Sus scrofa: one gene and its partners. The protein of the gene in region 2 interacts with the protein of the main gene of each other region in a biochemical or structural test. Links are inferred from orthologs where the notes say so. Each region holds a gene or a part of one and is shown on either strand. Other genes may lie near its edges.

The links. The genes of interacting proteins can lie anywhere in the genome.
Region 1: the proteins of MAPK9 (region 2) and MAPK8IP3 form a complex in vitro, tested with the Homo sapiens proteins (2 studies listed by BioGRID). The link is inferred for Sus scrofa from reciprocal best matches to the Homo sapiens genes MAPK9 and MAPK8IP3.
Region 3: of the proteins of MAPK9 (region 2) and MAPT, one has a biochemical effect on the other in vitro, tested with the Homo sapiens proteins (2 studies listed by BioGRID). The link is inferred for Sus scrofa from reciprocal best matches to the Homo sapiens genes MAPK9 and MAPT.
Region 4: the proteins of MAPK9 (region 2) and JUNB form a complex in vitro, tested with the Homo sapiens proteins (2 studies listed by BioGRID). The link is inferred for Sus scrofa from reciprocal best matches to the Homo sapiens genes MAPK9 and JUNB.

The regions. Positions count from the first base shown.
Region 1 is NC_010445.4:40,238,582-40,242,666, forward strand, and holds the start of MAPK8IP3 (C-Jun-amino-terminal kinase-interacting protein 3), read right to left. Parts: upstream 2,871-4,085; 5' UTR 2,533-2,870; coding exon 2,215-2,532; intron 1-2,214.
Region 2 is NC_010444.4:78,337,193-78,341,290, forward strand, and holds the start of MAPK9 (mitogen-activated protein kinase 9), read left to right. Parts: upstream 1-1,273; 5' UTR 1,274-1,431; intron 1,432-2,418; exon of another isoform or gene 2,419-2,490; intron 2,491-4,098. UniProt on the Homo sapiens protein: Serine/threonine-protein kinase involved in various processes such as cell proliferation, differentiation, migration, transformation and programmed cell death.
Region 3 is NC_010454.4:17,208,521-17,212,832, forward strand, and holds the start of MAPT (microtubule-associated protein tau), read right to left. Parts: upstream 2,871-4,312; 5' UTR 2,721-2,870; intron 1-2,720. UniProt on the Homo sapiens protein: Promotes microtubule assembly and stability, and might be involved in the establishment and maintenance of neuronal polarity.
Region 4 is NC_010444.4:66,216,566-66,220,672, forward strand, and holds the start of JUNB (transcription factor jun-B), read right to left. Parts: upstream 2,871-4,107; 5' UTR 1-2,870. UniProt on the Homo sapiens protein: Transcription factor involved in regulating gene activity following the primary growth factor response. Binds to the DNA sequence 5'-TGA[GC]TCA-3'.

The DNA of each region.
Region 1 (4,085 bases), on a different chromosome or scaffold from region 2:
CCTCGGGACCAGAACACAGGCACCAGCCTCTCGCTGAGCCTATCGCGGGCGTGCCGCAGGGGCAGGGGTGCTTGCTCTGCTCCCGGCTCTTCTTTAGCCTGCAGCTTGCGCGCACTCAGAGGCTGCAGGCGGTTCGGGTTACGGCCTCTGAAAACGCCTTCCCAAGCAGACCGGCCAGGGCGCCAGGAGCCACTGCCAGGCCAGGCCGTTCTGCCCCTGTGTCTGGAAAAGCACCCCCCCCCCGCCCCCGACCGGTCTCTTCCACGGAACAGGAGAGGGGCGTCTGCTGGACGCGGAAAGTGAGCCAGGATGCCGACCCGGTGGCGGGACTCGGCCACACGGGAGGTCTCTCTAAGGGCACCGTTAGTGTCACATCACAGCCTCTGGCCGGCCTGCCAAACCGGGTCCGCTCCGGGGCTCGCGGCTCCGCCTCTCTCAACAGCGGAGGCAGGGAGCCAGTCTCCTCCAGACTGCTCAGCTCTCAGGCCCCGGGTGCGACCGGGCGGCCAGGGGCCCACTCGGCTGGGGCTGCCCCTGGACTGCACGGAGCAGAGCGCGGCCTCGCCCACCCAGAGCTGAGGGTGAAGTCGGAAGGTGAGGGTTCTCAGCCTTAAGGCCGTCCATCCTTCTCCCCGGACTTCCTTCCAGGCCACTATACGGACCACACGGGCACGGGACGCAGGAAACCCTCCTGAAACCCACCGTGAGGCATCAGATGGCTGCTGAGGACAGGCCAAAATGGGCGGCACTGCCCGGGGGGAGGGGAGGGGAGCCCGGCGCGTCAGGCTTCTGACCGCCCACAGCGGCATCATGGAAGAGCTCACGCCAGGGGTCAGGCCACACTGGGTCCCCGCCTGGTCCTTCCGGGGCATGTGACCTGGGACCCCTCCCCCCCCCCCCCCCCCCCCCCCCCCGGCGCCCCCTGTTCTTTCCCCAGGAAATGCCTAGGGCCACCGTGAACTCCGAAATCCTACAAGCTTGGGCATCCCCTTCAGTTGTGAGCCCCAGCAGGCAACCGTCCTTTGACAGATGCACAAAACCCAAGAGCCAGTGGGTCCCCGGAAGCAAGAATGACACAAGACAACGTTCACGCACACACACACTTAAACCAAACCAGGCCACCCACTGCTTGGGCTCGAGAAAAAGTCGAAACACTGGAACAATCCACTTCAATACTCAAGTCAAGAAGGTGTTGACCCAAATTAATTACAGGGGAATTTAGCACATGTAGTAAGAAACTTCCTATTCCTCAATGGAAAAGCATCACCCAATGACGGGTGGCACAGAATGTCAGGGCTCAGAGATCATCTAGGGCGAGTGACTACAGGACGGACGGAAATGCAAAATCCGGGGCAGAGAGGCGCCGTGGACAAGGTCACAGAGGCAAAAAGCAGGGACGAGAGCCCACATCCCCGGACCCGCCTAGGTCTGGCATAGAGCGTGAAATGACGGTGAATGAATGAAGGTAAGTGGGGTTCCTTACAATGCGTGTGGTTCTTCTAAGTGGCTCACAAAGACATGACGTCCAATTTAGGAAGATAGAATATCTAGGACAGAATACACTCTTTCCAAATTCTCCTTTTAACTCCTCGGAAGCCACAGTGCAATTTCTCAGCCTTTTCACAGAAGCTAACAACCTCCCCAAGGGAGGGCAACGCAGGGGAAAGAAACCACCTCCATAAACTTGAGGTCTTTCACCAGGTGCCAGCGAGGCTTTGGTTCTGTGTTCATATCCATCCTTAAACTCGCCCGGGTCACAGACCTTCAAAACACCGGCCCAGAGACAAGGCACAGATCTGACAACGGACAGCCTCTGGCTGCAGAACCGTAAGATCAGAAACCTCCTTTTTCTCGGAGACTTTAAAACGGCAGCAACCTGGAGTCTAGGAAACGTTTGCGAAACACACACACAAAAGCAAAAAGACCTGGCGTTTGGGATGAGAGGTGGGTAAGGATGGGACACTGGGGCCTGAGACCCTTCGCGCTGCAAGCTCTCCCCCGTGACGCCAGGTGGTTTAGGGGTCAGGGCTCCTGGCTGGAGCAGCGGGCCGGGAGGAAGGGGGAGCCAGGGCTCAGCCCCTGGGCCCGGCGGGGGGGGTGCCCCGGGGGGCTTGGCTGGGTGGGCGGGGCGGGAGTCGGGCCCCGCCAGGGCGGGGGCTGAGGGCGGGGCCCACGGGCGGGGCGAGGGTCCCCCGCGCGGCCCGGCCCACGCACCTCTTCGGCCTGCTTGCGCAGAGCCTTCTCCCGCTCGTACTGGGTGAGCAGCTGTTCGTTGTCCTCGCGCAGTAGCTCCAGCTCCACCTCGTGCTCCTGGTTCTCGCTGAGCACGGAGTCCAGGTTCTCGAGCACGTTGACCACGAGCGGCATAAGCTCTTTGACCACCTCCTCGTCATAGCAGTGGATGAGGCGCTCGAACTCGCGGTAGATGGAGCCCGCCAGGCCCGACACCCGCTCCGACATCACCGAGCCGGAGCAGTAGTCATCCTGGTACACGACCACGCCGCCGCCCTCGTCCATCTGGATCTCCATCATCGCGGCCACCGCCGCCGCCAGCGCGGCCTGCTGTCCGCCGGCGCGTTCGCCCGCCCCGGCTGCCCGTGAGTCCGCAGGCCGCAGCCCGTCGCCTCCGCCGCAGCCGCTGTTGCCTCAGGGCTCAGCCGCTGCCGCCGCCGATGCTGATGCTGCGCCCGTCACTCAGCAGCCGGAAGTCCCGCCGCCCGGAAGTCCCGCCCTCCAGACAGCGAGGGCGGTGCCCGCCCGTCCCGCCGGCGCCCCGCCGCTAGGGGTCGCAGGTGCCCTGACGTAGGAGGAAGTCCGTCTCCGGCCGGAAGCTGGGCAGGGAACGCTTCCGGCAGGCTTGTCAGAGCCGCTGTCGGTCAGCTCCCGCGACGCTGACGGCGTAGATTTTTACCAGGGGCCGCGCGTCCGCGCAGTGTGCACAAATGCTTCCGTACGGCCTGGACTTGGGCGAGCATCCGCGTGCCCCCTCCCCCCGCCCCGAGGGAAGGGCCATTATCTTTGGGCGCCTGTCCCCTCCCTCCTGAGGTGTCCAGGATGCTGACCTGGCTGTCCTCTGACTTGCCTTTGCAGCGTCACCGCAGTACGCACGCCTACACGGTAGGTGTTCAGAGCTCTCTGCCCTTCACTTGTCCCCTCTGGGGTTCCAGTCTCATCCTAAGATCCAGCAACAAACGCTCATTTACTCCACTTCGGTGTCTTGATTTTGTGTAACTTATGCAGATTTCAGTTTCATTTCACCAATGCGTCATCTAACCCACACACTGAGTTCATTTCGATAGATATATATTTTTGTTTGGCCACACCCTCAGCGTGTGGAAGTCGCCAGGTCAGGGATAAAACCTGCACCACAGCAGTGACCGTGCCCAATCCTCAACCTGCTGTGCCACCACAGGACTCCATCTACCATTTCACTTTTTTTTTTTTCTTCATTTTTGGCCGCCCCATGGCATGTGGAGTTCCTGGGCCAGGTATCAGATCCAAGAGGCAGTCGAGACCTAAGCCACAGCTATGGCAACACCGAATCCTTAACCCACTGGCCAGGGATGGAACCTGCGTCCCAGCACTCCTGACTCCACCAATCCTGTGATGCCCCAGCAGGAACTCTTCTGTGGTTACATGTTAACTTCCACTTGTCCTATTTGATTTTCCTTAGACTCTACCAGATTTTTTTGTTGGTTTGTGATTAGGGCAGCACCCGCGGCATACGGAGGTTCCCAGGCCAGGGGTCCAATTGGAGGTACAGCTACCACCCTACACCACAGCTACAGCCACACCAGATCCAAGCCGCATCTATAACCTACACCACTGCTCACAGCAACGCTGGATCCTTAACCCACTGAGCAAGGCCAGGGTTTGAACCTGCATCCTTGTGGATCCTAGTGGGATGCGTTAGCGCTGCACCACGACGAAAACGCCTGTACTCTGCCAGTTCCCATAGGCCCTTATTTCTCCCACTTTTAGCCACCTGATTTGCATTTCCTTTCAGTGAGGTCTGAGGACACCATGAACCTAAGACTGACACTTTCAGCCTTGGCAGCCACACAGATGGCATGAATCCTGATCAA
Region 2 (4,098 bases):
TACCCCTCTTCTGAGGCCCTGGTACCCCCAGCCTGGCCCTGGGTCACAGGCTTGCCACTCTCTCCAAATTCTGCCACCCCACCCCTTAACCTCTTCCACTGCAGAATCCTGCTCCTTCCTCCCGGTTTGGCCTCTGTCCTGGTCACCTGTAGTCCTGGTCACCTGTGAGGGCTGTCCCTCCTTCACAGTCCAACACTCTCCCCACCCCAAAGTCCAATTCCCCTCACCCCATCCACGGACCTCTGAGCTTTTTTCCAATGTGCACAGCCTTCTTGTCTCATTTCTGGCTTTGTTTATCCAAACACAGATCCAACAACACTCAATACTCTGGTCTCTCCCATCATTTCACAGGACTCCAGACCTGCTGGAACCCGACCCAGAGGCAAGAGGGCTGCAGGAGATGCTTCAAGAGGTCAGTGTCAAAAGCCCCCAGGCCCTAGGGGGCCGTCAGCTCTGCACTCTCTTCCCATTTACAACTCTGCCATTCTCTGAGACAGAGGCTTGACCTTTGCTTCAGGCGCCCCAGCCAGTTTTCTCTTCGCCTGTGTCACAGATCTGCCCGCGACACTTGTTTACACACGGCCGTCTCCTCGCATCCTCCTCCCCGACTTCTGGAAGCATTCCTCCAAACCCCTTCACAGTGAGCAGCGGAATCCAAGGACCCTATCTCGCCTCCCGACTCCCTGGCCGCCTCTGCCTCAGCCACCTGGCCCTGGATGCAAAATCCCAGCTTCTCCTCGCCCTCGCCCCGGGCTCTCCCCGAAGAGGGCTCTCCCCGAAAAGGGCCAGCTCCGTCTTCCTCCAGGCCAACTCGTCCCTGCCAGTCTGCACCTGCAGCCCGGTGGCCAGGCCCTCCGTCCTACCGGCCTGCCCTCTCCACCGCCTCCCGCCTCCTTGTTCGGCCGCCGCGCTGCTGGCCCCCGTGCGCAACAACGAACTCAGCTGGCGCGCAGGGCCGTGCCTGAGTCCACCAAGCGCGGACCCAACCTGCAGTACGGCCGCGGAGCCCGGGTCCCCGCAGAAACCGGCACTGAGTGGCCTGGCTCCGCCCGCCGCCCCGCCTGCGCCTCCTGACGGTAGCCCCCCCTCCTCAGCGCGATTGGCCGCGCTTGCCAGGCTTACCGCGAGCTGATTGGTCTTCACGCGGGTCTGTCAGGCTGGGCGCCGCGGCGGCGGCAGCGGCGGCGGCGGAGGAGGCTGGAGCCAGACCGGAAGGGTCCGAGCGCCCCGGCGCCCCTCACACCCACTGCGGCGGCGGCTAGTGGCGGCGGCGGCGGCGGCGGCGGCGGCGTGGCGGAGCGGAGCGGGGCGGGGCGGCTGGCCGAGCCCAGGGCAGCGGAGCCGCGAGCCGCGAGCCACGACCCGCCAGCGCGCAGCGCCGCCAGTCCGCCCGCCTGCCCTCTCCCCCAGGCGCGGCGGCAGGGAGGCGAGGTGAGCCCGGCGGGCGGGCTAGGCCCGGCGGGGACTGCTTGGGCCAAGCCCTGCCTGGGGGGGGCGGCAGGAGGGCCGCGCAGCCAGGGTCCGTGGAGGAGTGGAGGGCGGGGTGGGGAGTTGGGTGTCGCGGGGCCGGCTGACCAGTTCTGAGGAGCCAACCGGGTTCTGCTGGATTCTGGCGACCCTAGTCGCAGCCCCCTGTCTTCCTGGCTGTTGCAGCCGGGAGCTGAGGGCCCGCTCCCAGGTCTGGCCTCGGCCGACCTGCCTTAGGGTCTGTAGGCGCCACCCCTCCCGATTGTTTGGCACGCAGCTGCACACCCGCTTTGGGATGCTCAGAACCCGGGGTCTGGTTCCTGCGACCTTGGCAAAGGCATTGACCCTCGCTATTCCTTGTTTTTTCTCTCGGAAAGTGGGGGAAATGTCTATCCTTTTGGACAGGATTGTTGTCAGACCATATGAATATTTGTAAAAGCGCCTGGGGAAGAGCTCATTGCACATTTGGGGAAAATTGGGCGGGATACTGCCCCTTGCTGGTGCGAGTGTGGCAAGACCCCCCCCCCCCCCGCCCCTTCTGCCCAGAGGCCCCCATCCTCTAGCTCCTCCAGTGCCTCGTCATTGCACACTCATGCCCAGCAACGCCTGAGCGGGCCCTGCCCACCCCCCCCCCAGCTCTCCCCACTCCCCTAACCCAGAGCACTGCTCTCTTAGCCTACCTGTCTTACTTGCTGTAAACAGGCAGCCCTGTTTATCTCAGGACCTTTGCACTGGCTCTTTCCAGCAATTGGCGTTGTCTCTGGGCTCTTGGCACGGCTGGCTCCTTCTGGTCCTTCTTCTGGTCAGATGTCTCATTTTACTAGAGGCCTTCCTTGACCACCCTCTTTCTTCCCTTAGTCATTCTATCTCATGTTGTTTAATTTTCCCCTTAGTATCTGGTTTAAAGCTATTCTATTGATTTGCCTGTTTATTTTCTGTCTCTCCCACTAGGATGTAGCTTTATGAAAACAGGTAGTTGTCTGATTTGTCCACTGCTTTATCCCAGTGCTTAGAAAGCACACAGTAAGTACTTAGTAATACCAGTTCAATGAATGAATGAATGACCCTGCCCACCTGTTGCCTCTGTTCATTTAGTGACTTCTGACTAACTTGTGAAACTTGTATGCAAATGGAAGCTTGCTCTCGTTTTTGTGGAACATTTTTAATGTCCTTGACCCCTTTATTTGGTATCTGTCAGAACAAGCTGTGATATAAAATCTTGCATTTTTATAACGATTTTTAGCTCTAACTTCCTTGCACACATTCAGGAGGCATTTACTGAACTCTGCATTATCTAGGTCAGGTTTTTTGCCCTGGGGACATAAAGCCAATAGCAACAGGGTCCCTTCCTCCAGAGAGCCCAAGAGCCCAGTAAAGAAGGCTGATATGCAGACAGTGCTAGGACAGCTTGCTGTAGAGGAGGGGCTGAGCCATGGAAAGGTGGAGGGGGTGATAAGTGGTCCTGGAGTTGGGCCTTGTACAATGATGAGAAATTTGTCAGGCAAGGGGAGGCAAGAAGTGGGAAAGGGCAGGGAAAGGATTCCTCCCCAATGTGGCTCAGGAATCAGCCTTTGGGGCTAGGTGTAAGAGAGGTTGGAGTTAGAGGGACCCTGGAGAACCAGATCTAGCTCACCCGGTGGTTTTTAAAGTCAGAACTCTACATTTGTATCTGTACTCTCTTGATTTTTAAATGTTAGCAGTAGCTAATTAAAAAATATTTTAAGTGATGTAAACCATGCAACATACAGACCTCATTCAGCTTGGCTGTTGACCTTCTGGGCGGGTTGTGTAGGAGGAAAAGGTTGTAAAGAGCTGGAAAGGTAGCCTGAGGCCAGGGGAGCTAGACCCTGTTTATCCAGGTACTATCACTTAATGTGCCTGGAGCCCTGTGATGGCAGCTATGAAGCCCATTTCTGCATAGGAGGAACCAGAGACTCCCAGAGTTTCAGCAGCCTGTTTCACAGCAGGCAGATGGAAAGTGAAATTTGAACCCAGGTCTCCCCCACCCCACCCCCATCAGCATTCTTTTCTCAGTTCTGAGTTTTCTCTTTTGGCTCTTAATTTGTTCTGGAAGAATAGCATCCAGTCTAAATAATGATTTCCTTCACTTTAACCCTTTTTTTTCCCCTTCAGAAGACTCCTGCAGAGTTAAAAGTAATCCTATTTTGGCATAGTCTTCTCTGAAGAGCTTTGATTCTCCTGAGGATTTAATTTTCGGGAGACCAGGACTTTAAATAATTTGTTGACACATTAAAATGTGTTTATTTGGCCCTTCTAAATAAATGTTAGACAATGCACCTCAATTTGCCCGTTTAAAATAAAATCTTGGAGTTCCCGCCGTGGCGCAGTTAACGAATCCGACGGGGAACCATGAGGTTGTGGGTTCAGTCCCTGCCCTTGCTCAGTGGGTTAACGATCCGGCGTTGCTGCGAGCTGTGTATAGGTTGCAGATGCGGCTCGGATCCCGCGTTGCTGTGGCTCTGGTGTAGGCCGGTGGCTGCAGCTCCGATTCGACCCCTAGCCTGGGAACCTCCATATGCCGCGGGAACAGCCCAAGAAATAGCAAAAAAAAAAAAAAAAAAAAAAAAAAGGACCAAATAAATAAATAAATAAAATAAAATAAAATCTTAA
Region 3 (4,312 bases), on a different chromosome or scaffold from region 2:
CAACCCCCACCCCCGGCCTTGCCGACCCGAGAGCCCCACCAAACCGCCAATACATTTCAAAATTGGGTAAAATAGCGGACGCCTATACTGCGCTTTGTTCCCAGCACTGGGCTAAACGCGCTTGCCATGATGCGCTCCTTCCCAACAACGGATAGGAGATGCTGTCTTCGCCTGCGGTCCATCCCAGGCAGCGGAGGCTGCGGGCTCCCTGTTCCCAGGTCTGCTAGCTCTGTCTAGACCCTAGCTCTGTCTAGAACCAGAATCTCTTGTCTAGCTCTATGGGGCGGGGGGAAGATGCTCGAATTGATCCTTGAACCTCTCTCCAACCTGCCCCTGCCGAGCCCAGCTCTGCAGGAAAGCTCGCTCCGATCCGATCCCAGGAAAGCTCGCTCCGATCCGATCCCGAAGCCAAGGGAAGGTTCGGCCTGGCCCCTGGGGGGCTCTCGACCCCGAGCCAAGTCATTCCCCGCATGTTTAGATCAATCTGCGCGGCTCGAGAGGATGGTGTGTTCCCTTAAATGCTCATGAATCTCAGAACTGCGCCCCCGCACCACTTTCCAGCGATAGAATTAACCAGAAAGCCGCCAGGACCCAGCTAATGGAAAGAGGGTGAGGCTCGGATTTGTTCGCCAGGATCTTACCCGCCTTCCTACTTCCCCCACCTCACTCCGCCTCCGGGTTTCAAGGTGGCGGCGAACTCGGGCTCTCAAATGAAAATCTCTCACGGTTCTAAAATAATATTCGACTATAATAATAAAAATACATGAAAGATGCCTTTCCTGGTGGTTGCGGCCGCAGGAGTCCAATTTGGAAGAGCCACGGGTTAAGGGGTGGGAGGTCCCCCTCCTGTGTTCTCCTGGAGCCAGAGGGGCAGGGCCTATCCCTAGGTTCTCTATCTCTGCTGGGCAGGGGCGGGGCAACGCCCCAAGGTCTGTCCCCAGGGTGCGGGTGGTCTCCATGACAACCTCCCCCTGCGACCCCCTCCCAGGCCTTTTGATAAAAGGGTGTGGCCCGCAGCACCTCATGCCCCCTCCTCACATTCTCCCGCCTGGTGAAGCAACAGGACGTGAAGCGAAGTGGGCAACCCCCACCCCTGCACCCCGCTTCTCCCACCGGGGGTCGCCGGCGCTCCCTGGCGAGGCGTCGCCCCCAGGACGCTCCAAGTATGGGGAGGGGCATCGTCCCTCTGTGGCCACCCGCAACTCGCGTCCATCCCTTCGGCCCTCAGGTGCTTCCTGGCGCGCAGCCCCGCTTTGGGAGAGGGGCTCGCGGGGTCACGCCCGTTCCCTGCGTGCCCTCGGGGCTGACTCGAGTTCCTCGACCCCAGCGAGCGCCAAGATCTAACAAAGGGCTCAGAAATGAGGGGCAAAAAGCGGGAGGAGGGGTGGGGGCCTCGATTAAACACCCTCATAGAATAAGAGCCAAAAACTAGGGCTGGCAAGGCAGATCACGTAAACCCTACAAACAAAGCACCGAGCCCCCAAGGAAAATCCTGGGTGAACTCCCCCAGTGCTCAAGCCCGCAGCAGCAAAATCCAAGATTTCAGCGCTAATTGCCCCCTCCCCGTCAATGACAGTCTTCGCCCTGTCCTCCGAAGCCGAGCCGCTCGGCTTGGCACGGTACTATAAAGACATGACACGCCGCAAAAAGATGGCACCTCGCGTTCGGAGGGGAAAAAAGCAAGGGTGGAAGTGGGAGGAGGCTCGGCCTACCCACCCCCTCCTCGCCCACCCGGGTCCACACCCACTGCCGCAGTGAGGGGCGAGCCCTGCGCGCCAGCCGGGCGCCTCCGGCAGGGAGCGCACACGCCGGTCCGCCAGCGCAGAGCGCAGAGCGCAGAGAAAGGGGCCCGCCCCGAAATGCACCTGCAGCCCCCGCGCGCGTCTGTGCGGGGCTGCGGCTGTGCGCGCCCTCGAGCTGGGATCCGCGGCTGCCGAGCCCTTCCACATCGCAAGGCCAGGTGACCCCTGCCGTTCCGCACCTCCACATTGAGATCCGCGCACTACCTTCTCTCGGGCGCGGCGCTGCTCGAGTCTGGGTGCCAGGCGCGCGCAGGGGGAAGGGCAACTAAAGTGACAGCACCGGGACCCCTCCCCATCTCCCTGATTCCACTCCCAGCCCCCAAATGTCCCCTGCGGGTTTCTGAAGGAGGAAAACGGGGAAGGGGTGGGCCACCGCCTTAAACCTGGGACAGCGAAAGCCCCATTGGAATAGCTGCCGGGGAGGTGTAGGGAGGGGCAGGCAGGGAGTCATCTTTCCTAGAACCCGATCAATACCTTCCTTAGAGCTGATGGCAAACCGAGGCAGAGAAATCAGATTAGAGGTTCGGTTTGGGGGGTCGTCATTGAACACCCCCCACACCCACAAAGTCACACTCCTATTACTGCAAAAGGCTGTATTCGAGAATGCATTGCAGCCCCCTCCCCCAGGTCACCGCCATCCGCGCCCCACCCTGTGGGCAAAACCTCTGTCCGGGTCCGCTCGCAACGGGTCGTGCAGACCCCCTCAGGACACACACACGCACACCCATGCATCCCTTGCACGGGTCCCTTTCCAAGTCGCCCTAATCCCGAGCCCCAACGCAGAAGGGGCAAGGAGGGGCCCCGGCGGTTGCCCCCGACCAAAATTCACCTCAGGAAACCCATCTCTGGGGCGAGGGGCGGCGGCATGGGAGTGCAGGAGGGCAGAGGGGGAGGCAGATTTCGGAGCCTCGCACTTACCTGATAGTCGACAGAGGGCGAGGACACCAGAGGAAAACAGTCAAGTGGCTGTGGTGGCGGCGACAGAAGGTGGGCGGCGGCGACGGCGGCGCTGCTGCTGGTGCCTGAGCTGGTGGGTGGCGGAGACTGCGAGCGCGCGCACCGCCAAGAGGGCGCGCTCCCGAGGCCGGCGGGCGGCGCAGGCGCGAGCGGCGGGAGCGCGAGCCTCCCCAGGGGAGGGGCGGGGCCCTGAGGCCTCCGCAGGCGTATTCTCCTCCGGCCACCAGTGGGCGCGCGTGAGCGCCCTACCAATCGACCCTTCCCCGCCTCCCGGCTCTCTCCTCTCGGCACTTCCCTTCCCGGGTCTCCCTTCCTCCCATGCCTTGTGCTGCGGAGCTGACAGCCACGCGCACGCGCGCTTCTTGGCGCAAGCGCACATTGGGTCTCCTCTCACGGCTGGAGTCTTTGTTTTGTCTTAGGGGTCTCCTCCCTAGGAAGCGAGGCTTGGTTGCCCTCTGGGTTAAAGGAGACGCTGGGTGCTCCGCCGCCTCCAGATCCGCAGCCCCTTTTTTTGCTCCGGAGTGATGTCCTGTCTCAGAAAGGTCCTGGGCAGTTTTTCACGTGGCCGGCTCTCCAGACAGTACACGCAGGTCCTCAAAAACTTCCCCCAGGCTTGCCCACTGGCACCCTGACCCTCTCCTGAATTTCCCCTTGTTGGAGATCAGTTTCCTCGTGTCTGTTTCCCTTCAACCTGCTTTTGTTCCACCTTTTTTGTTATTGATCAAGGTGAATTCTTTCCTTAGTAAATCTACTTAAACCTGGCTAACCTGATTATAATTAGGCAGTGCACATTTGGGTGTTTTTTGGGGGGGGGAGTGTTTTAACAAGGAGCATTCAAATCTAACTGTAACCCAAGAATAAAATCTTAAATTAGATCAAGTTTCAAATGGCACTTACCACATTACAGAGCATTTTCACATATACAGTTATTTTTATCTTCTTTGTGAAACATCCTTATTACTGTAAATAGAGCTTGAGATTTGAATTTCCAGGTGCTGGCGGGAGATTCTCACCTGGATAACATGCCTCAGACTGAAAGTGGCCAGAGGCTTTCATTCTCTCAGTCAGCCAGCATCTAGGCTTTGTCCTTAACTTGTTCTGCCCAACATCTAATTTAAACCCTGGCAGTGGGAGTTTAAGTTTAGAAGGGCTTAGGGACAGCCATCTTGTCATAGGAGGGTGGGAATTTGTCTTAAAGCTTTAATTTACATAGCTGTTATATTCTTCTTCTTTTTTTTTTTTAGGTCCGCACACTTGGCATATGGAAGTTCCCAGGCTAGGGGTTGAGTGGGAGCTATAGCTGCTGGCCTACACCACAGCTTGCAGCAATGCTGGATCCTTACTCCACTGAGCAAGGCCAGGGATCAAACCCAAATCCTCATAGGATACTAGTCTGGTTCTTAACCTGCTGAGCCACAATGGGAACTCCCTGCATAGCTCTGATATTCTTTTTTTTTTTTAAAGCAATATTGTATGCTGTAGATTAATACAAAAAGCAAGTAATTGATGATTTTCTTTATTCACATGGATTTAGTATATTTTTCTTACTATTT
Region 4 (4,107 bases), about 12 Mb from region 2:
TTAGTAGGGGTCTTGGGATCCATGAGACTGAGAGCCCCCTACATGGGAAGAGTAAGGAACTGGGGGGACCCAGATAAGCAGAAAAAGTGAGGGTTCTGGGGTACACTGAGTCAAGGAAAATATGTGGGGTAGAAGACTGGGACGTTGTCAGAGGCTAGGGGTCATTGGGGTCAACTGCGAAGCCCCGATGAAAAAGAATTAGAAGGGTCGGGGCACCCCCTCGGAGCTGGGATGACACTAAGGGAGGGGCCCTGGCTGAAACATGGGAGGAAGGGTCTTTGAGGATCCAGGATACCTGGACTGCTAGATCTTCCATGATGGGCGCCCCCTCTCGTGAGTGACCTCTAAGTTCCAGTATACTCTCTCCCCACCCCCAAAGCCCTCCCCCAGTGATCCTCGGCTTGACCGACACCGTGAAGACTCCTGGTGCCTGGACCCAGCCTGACGGCCGGGGCGCGGTCGCCCAACCCCACTCTTCCTTAGAAACAGGCTGGGGAAAGAGCGCCGCGGCAGGAAGTGTGGCAACAGCCCCGGGGGAAGGAGCCGGGCCCTGCCTCCGTCACTCGAATCCTACGGGACCATATGCCCCGCCCTGGGTCCAGCCGGGTCCTGCGCCTCGGAAGAGGAACCTGGGCTTGCGACCCCCGAGGAAGTCAGAGCGAGCGGAACACACCCAACCGCAGAGGTCCCCAGTCATCGACCCCCACCCCTGCAGTGGTTCAGCCCTAGTGTCGTAAAGGCTAGCAATCCGGGGACGGTTCCATTAGCCGGACGGAGGGGGACGCGCCGGGGAGCGGGGCCTGGTCGCCAAGGCAACAGGCCGGAGTCCGCAGGCAGGACTGGGGGCGGGGCGGCCCCCGGAGTCTCTCTCTGACGCCCATATAAGGGCACAGGAAGGGGTGGGGTCAGCACTGTCCCGGGGCCCCCGGCCAGGAGCCGGGAGCCCGAGTATCTGCCAGGTCCCAGGGCGCGCCCGGGCCCCCAGACGGCTAGTCCCGACCAGCCCCGACCGCCGCCCCCGGGGCCCCCACGGCCTCCTGGCCCAGCCCCACCCAGCCGCTCTGGGGCCGCGTCCTGCCAGGCCCTGCCCAGCCCGACCCAGCCTGGCAGGTCCGCGCCTGCCCGCGGGCCTGGGTCGGACTTCGCCCCCGGCCCGATGGGCGCAGAAGGGGCGCGCCAATGCCTCTGGGCGACCCCGGCGCCTGGGCGGGCGGGCACGACGGCCTCCTACCTCATGCTGGGTGCCCTTACTTTCTGCCAGGAGATCTGGGGTCCTTCCCCAAATACATCCCTAGGGGCTGGGGTGCTTCCTCCTTCACTCACGTGGGTGAGAGGCCCTACTCCTATTTTAGTGTGAGGGTCTCCTCACCATCCAGAATACCCAAAGGGGGATCCACACTCCCTCATCTGAGGGCTCCCTTCCCCTGCTGACAGAGAGGACCTGAAAATCCATGAGTCGAATCTGAGGGAACCTCTCCAGAGCCTCTTCCCCAAAATGGGTGAAGGTTTAGATGCTGAGGCTTTAGTTATACTTAAGGTGGGACTTCCAGGAGGTAGGCTATGAGCCACTAGAACCAGAGATGAGCCTCTCAGTATCTGTCTCCTCTCTGTCTTGAAAGAGACATGTCTATCTTTTGGAAACATGGAAGTTTCTTTAGGGTAGACTTAGGCTGAGGGAGAGGAGATAGCCAGCCTTTGTAGGGCAGACACAGCTCACCAAGTGTGGAGGAGAGAAGGAAAACGAAAGAGGCGAAAGAGAAACTGAGCTATGTGGGGGCAGGGGGAAGTCCAGCAGAGCCGGTGGTGGTGTTGGGGAGGAAGGTCCCATGAGAAGCTGGGGGTGTCCCCATCTTTGGAGGGTCCTTGTGACCTCTGGGTACCCCCTCCCCTCCTCCTTTGCTTGAACTGCTCCCCTCCCCCTCCCCAGGCTCAAGGGAGATTCCAGTGGCCGCTGAGTCTGGCAGGCATGCTGCCAGGCCTGTGTCTCCCGCCCATGCTAATAACTGCAGCTGACATCTGGCTGGGCCCTGCGGGGGCGCAACGGGGTAGTGTTGGGGGGCTGGGCAGGTCTGGTTGGAGGGCAGCATCTCAGGAGGCTAACCTGCAGGTCCCACAGGCTAGGAGTACACAGTGAGTCATCCCTGACCAGTGCTGAAGCTGGCTGTGCCAGGGGAGCCTTGGAGAGAGGCAAGACTGGCCCATGAGCGTAGAGATGGAGGGCAAGGCCTGAGCAAGGAAAAGTGGATGTATGGGGGTGGGGGTCAGGGCAGGGAGAGATGCAAGATTAGAGTCATGCAAACTCAGAGACTCTTGAGACAGGCCAACAGACTGAGAAATAATAATTATTATTTTAATAGCTAACACTTATATGGCTCTTACCATGGGCCAGGCACTCTTCTAAGTGGTTTACATGGAATAACTCATTGCCTGTTTCCAACAATCCAGCGAAATGCATGCTCTTTGTATCCCCATTTAACAGACTAAAAAACTTAGGAACAGAAAGGTAAGGAACTTTGCCCCATGTCACATAGCTATAAGCACTGGAATTGATCTAGAACTTGAGATGTCTGACTCCAGAATTTCAGCTCTTTTTGTGTGGATAATCACAACTAGAGAGGCATTTATGCAGTGCCAGCTGTTTGTCAAGTTCTGCAGGCCCTTTCAAGAAGAGTCTCCTGGAATTCCTATAGAGACTTAGCAGAAAAGAACCCGACTAGTATCCATGAGGATGTCCAGAGTTGCCCTGTGCTGTAGCGTAGGTCGCAGAAGTGGCTCGGAGCCGGCATCGCTGTGACTGTGGTGTAGGCCGGCCGGCAGTTGTAGCTCTGATTCGACCCCTAGCCTGGGAACGTCCATATGCCACACCTGGGTCCCGAAAAAGAAAGAGAAAAAAAAAAGGTCTCCTTTATCCTTTAGACAAACAGGGTTGGGCACAGGGCAGAGGGGTGCTAGTGTGTTTGGGGGCAGGCCGGCATGTTGGAGTGGGGTCGGGTCACTCTCTGCACTCTGCACGGGTGTTTGAGCAGGGGGTGGGGATGGGCCAGTGAGGGAGGGCGGGGGCCCAGCTGAGCTGGTACAGCCGGTTCCAGGCCCCTGCCAGTCTCACCCTTGTGGCCTGGGCACCACCCCCTCACGCCGTCCCACTGGCGCCAAGGCTGGCCCAGAGAGGAGAGCCCCCTCCTCCATCAGCCCTGGGTGCCCAGACTAGCAGCTGGGGACTGCCCAGGCCCTGGGTTCCAGACCAGCATCTGCCCAAGGAGTCTGTGTCCAGGCTTCCCTCATGCCCAGGGCCCGGGGGCCTAGGGGACTGGATAAGGAGGAAGTTCTCCCACCCCCACCCACAGGTCTCTCTGGGGCTTTTGGCCTTGGCAGGAGGGACTTCTCCTTCTTATAAATAGCCTGGTGACACCCCCCCACCCCCCCCCCCACACACACAGCCGGCTCCACTGGCTGGCAGGGCCCTTAATAGAAAACTGGGCTGGGGGCTGCTGGTGAGTCAGCCAGTGGGCAGGCCAGGGCGAGAACCCGCAAGTCACAGCACCCAGACTCCCTCGTCCCTGCCCCTGGGTGTGGACAGGCAGCTGGCAGGAAAAGGCTGAGAATCACGGAGGCCCTCCCCCCAGGAACCCTGGCTTGCCAGCAGCTTCCCTACCCAATCTCTGTGGTTTGGGGGGTCCCTCACCCCTCTCCTGGAGAGGAAGCTGCTCAGTTTTCTTGGAAGCAGGAAGGAGAGGAGAGTTTGTCTCCTCAGGCTGACTCAGCTGGGCACGAGGGGAGTTTCCCACAAAGCTGTTTCTGTCACCCCCCCTCCATGCTGCTGGTGAAGTCTTGGGGGGCCTGAGCCTGGCTGAGATCCTGGGTACCTCATTTTCAGGGGATGTGCTGAGAAAATAGGCCCACACCCTATGAAAGCCTGAGGCTGTTGAACTGGGCCTCCTAGGGGAAGTGACAAACAGTGTGGGGGGTGACAATGTTGGAGAGAGGAAGCACCAGGATTTCTGGGTGGGGTTAGAGATATGGGCTGGGAAGCCCAGAGCCTCACAGCACCTAAGCAAGGTCCAAGGGCGCATGTGTGTCTGGTTGGCTGTGGGTTTGTGTGTGGCTGGC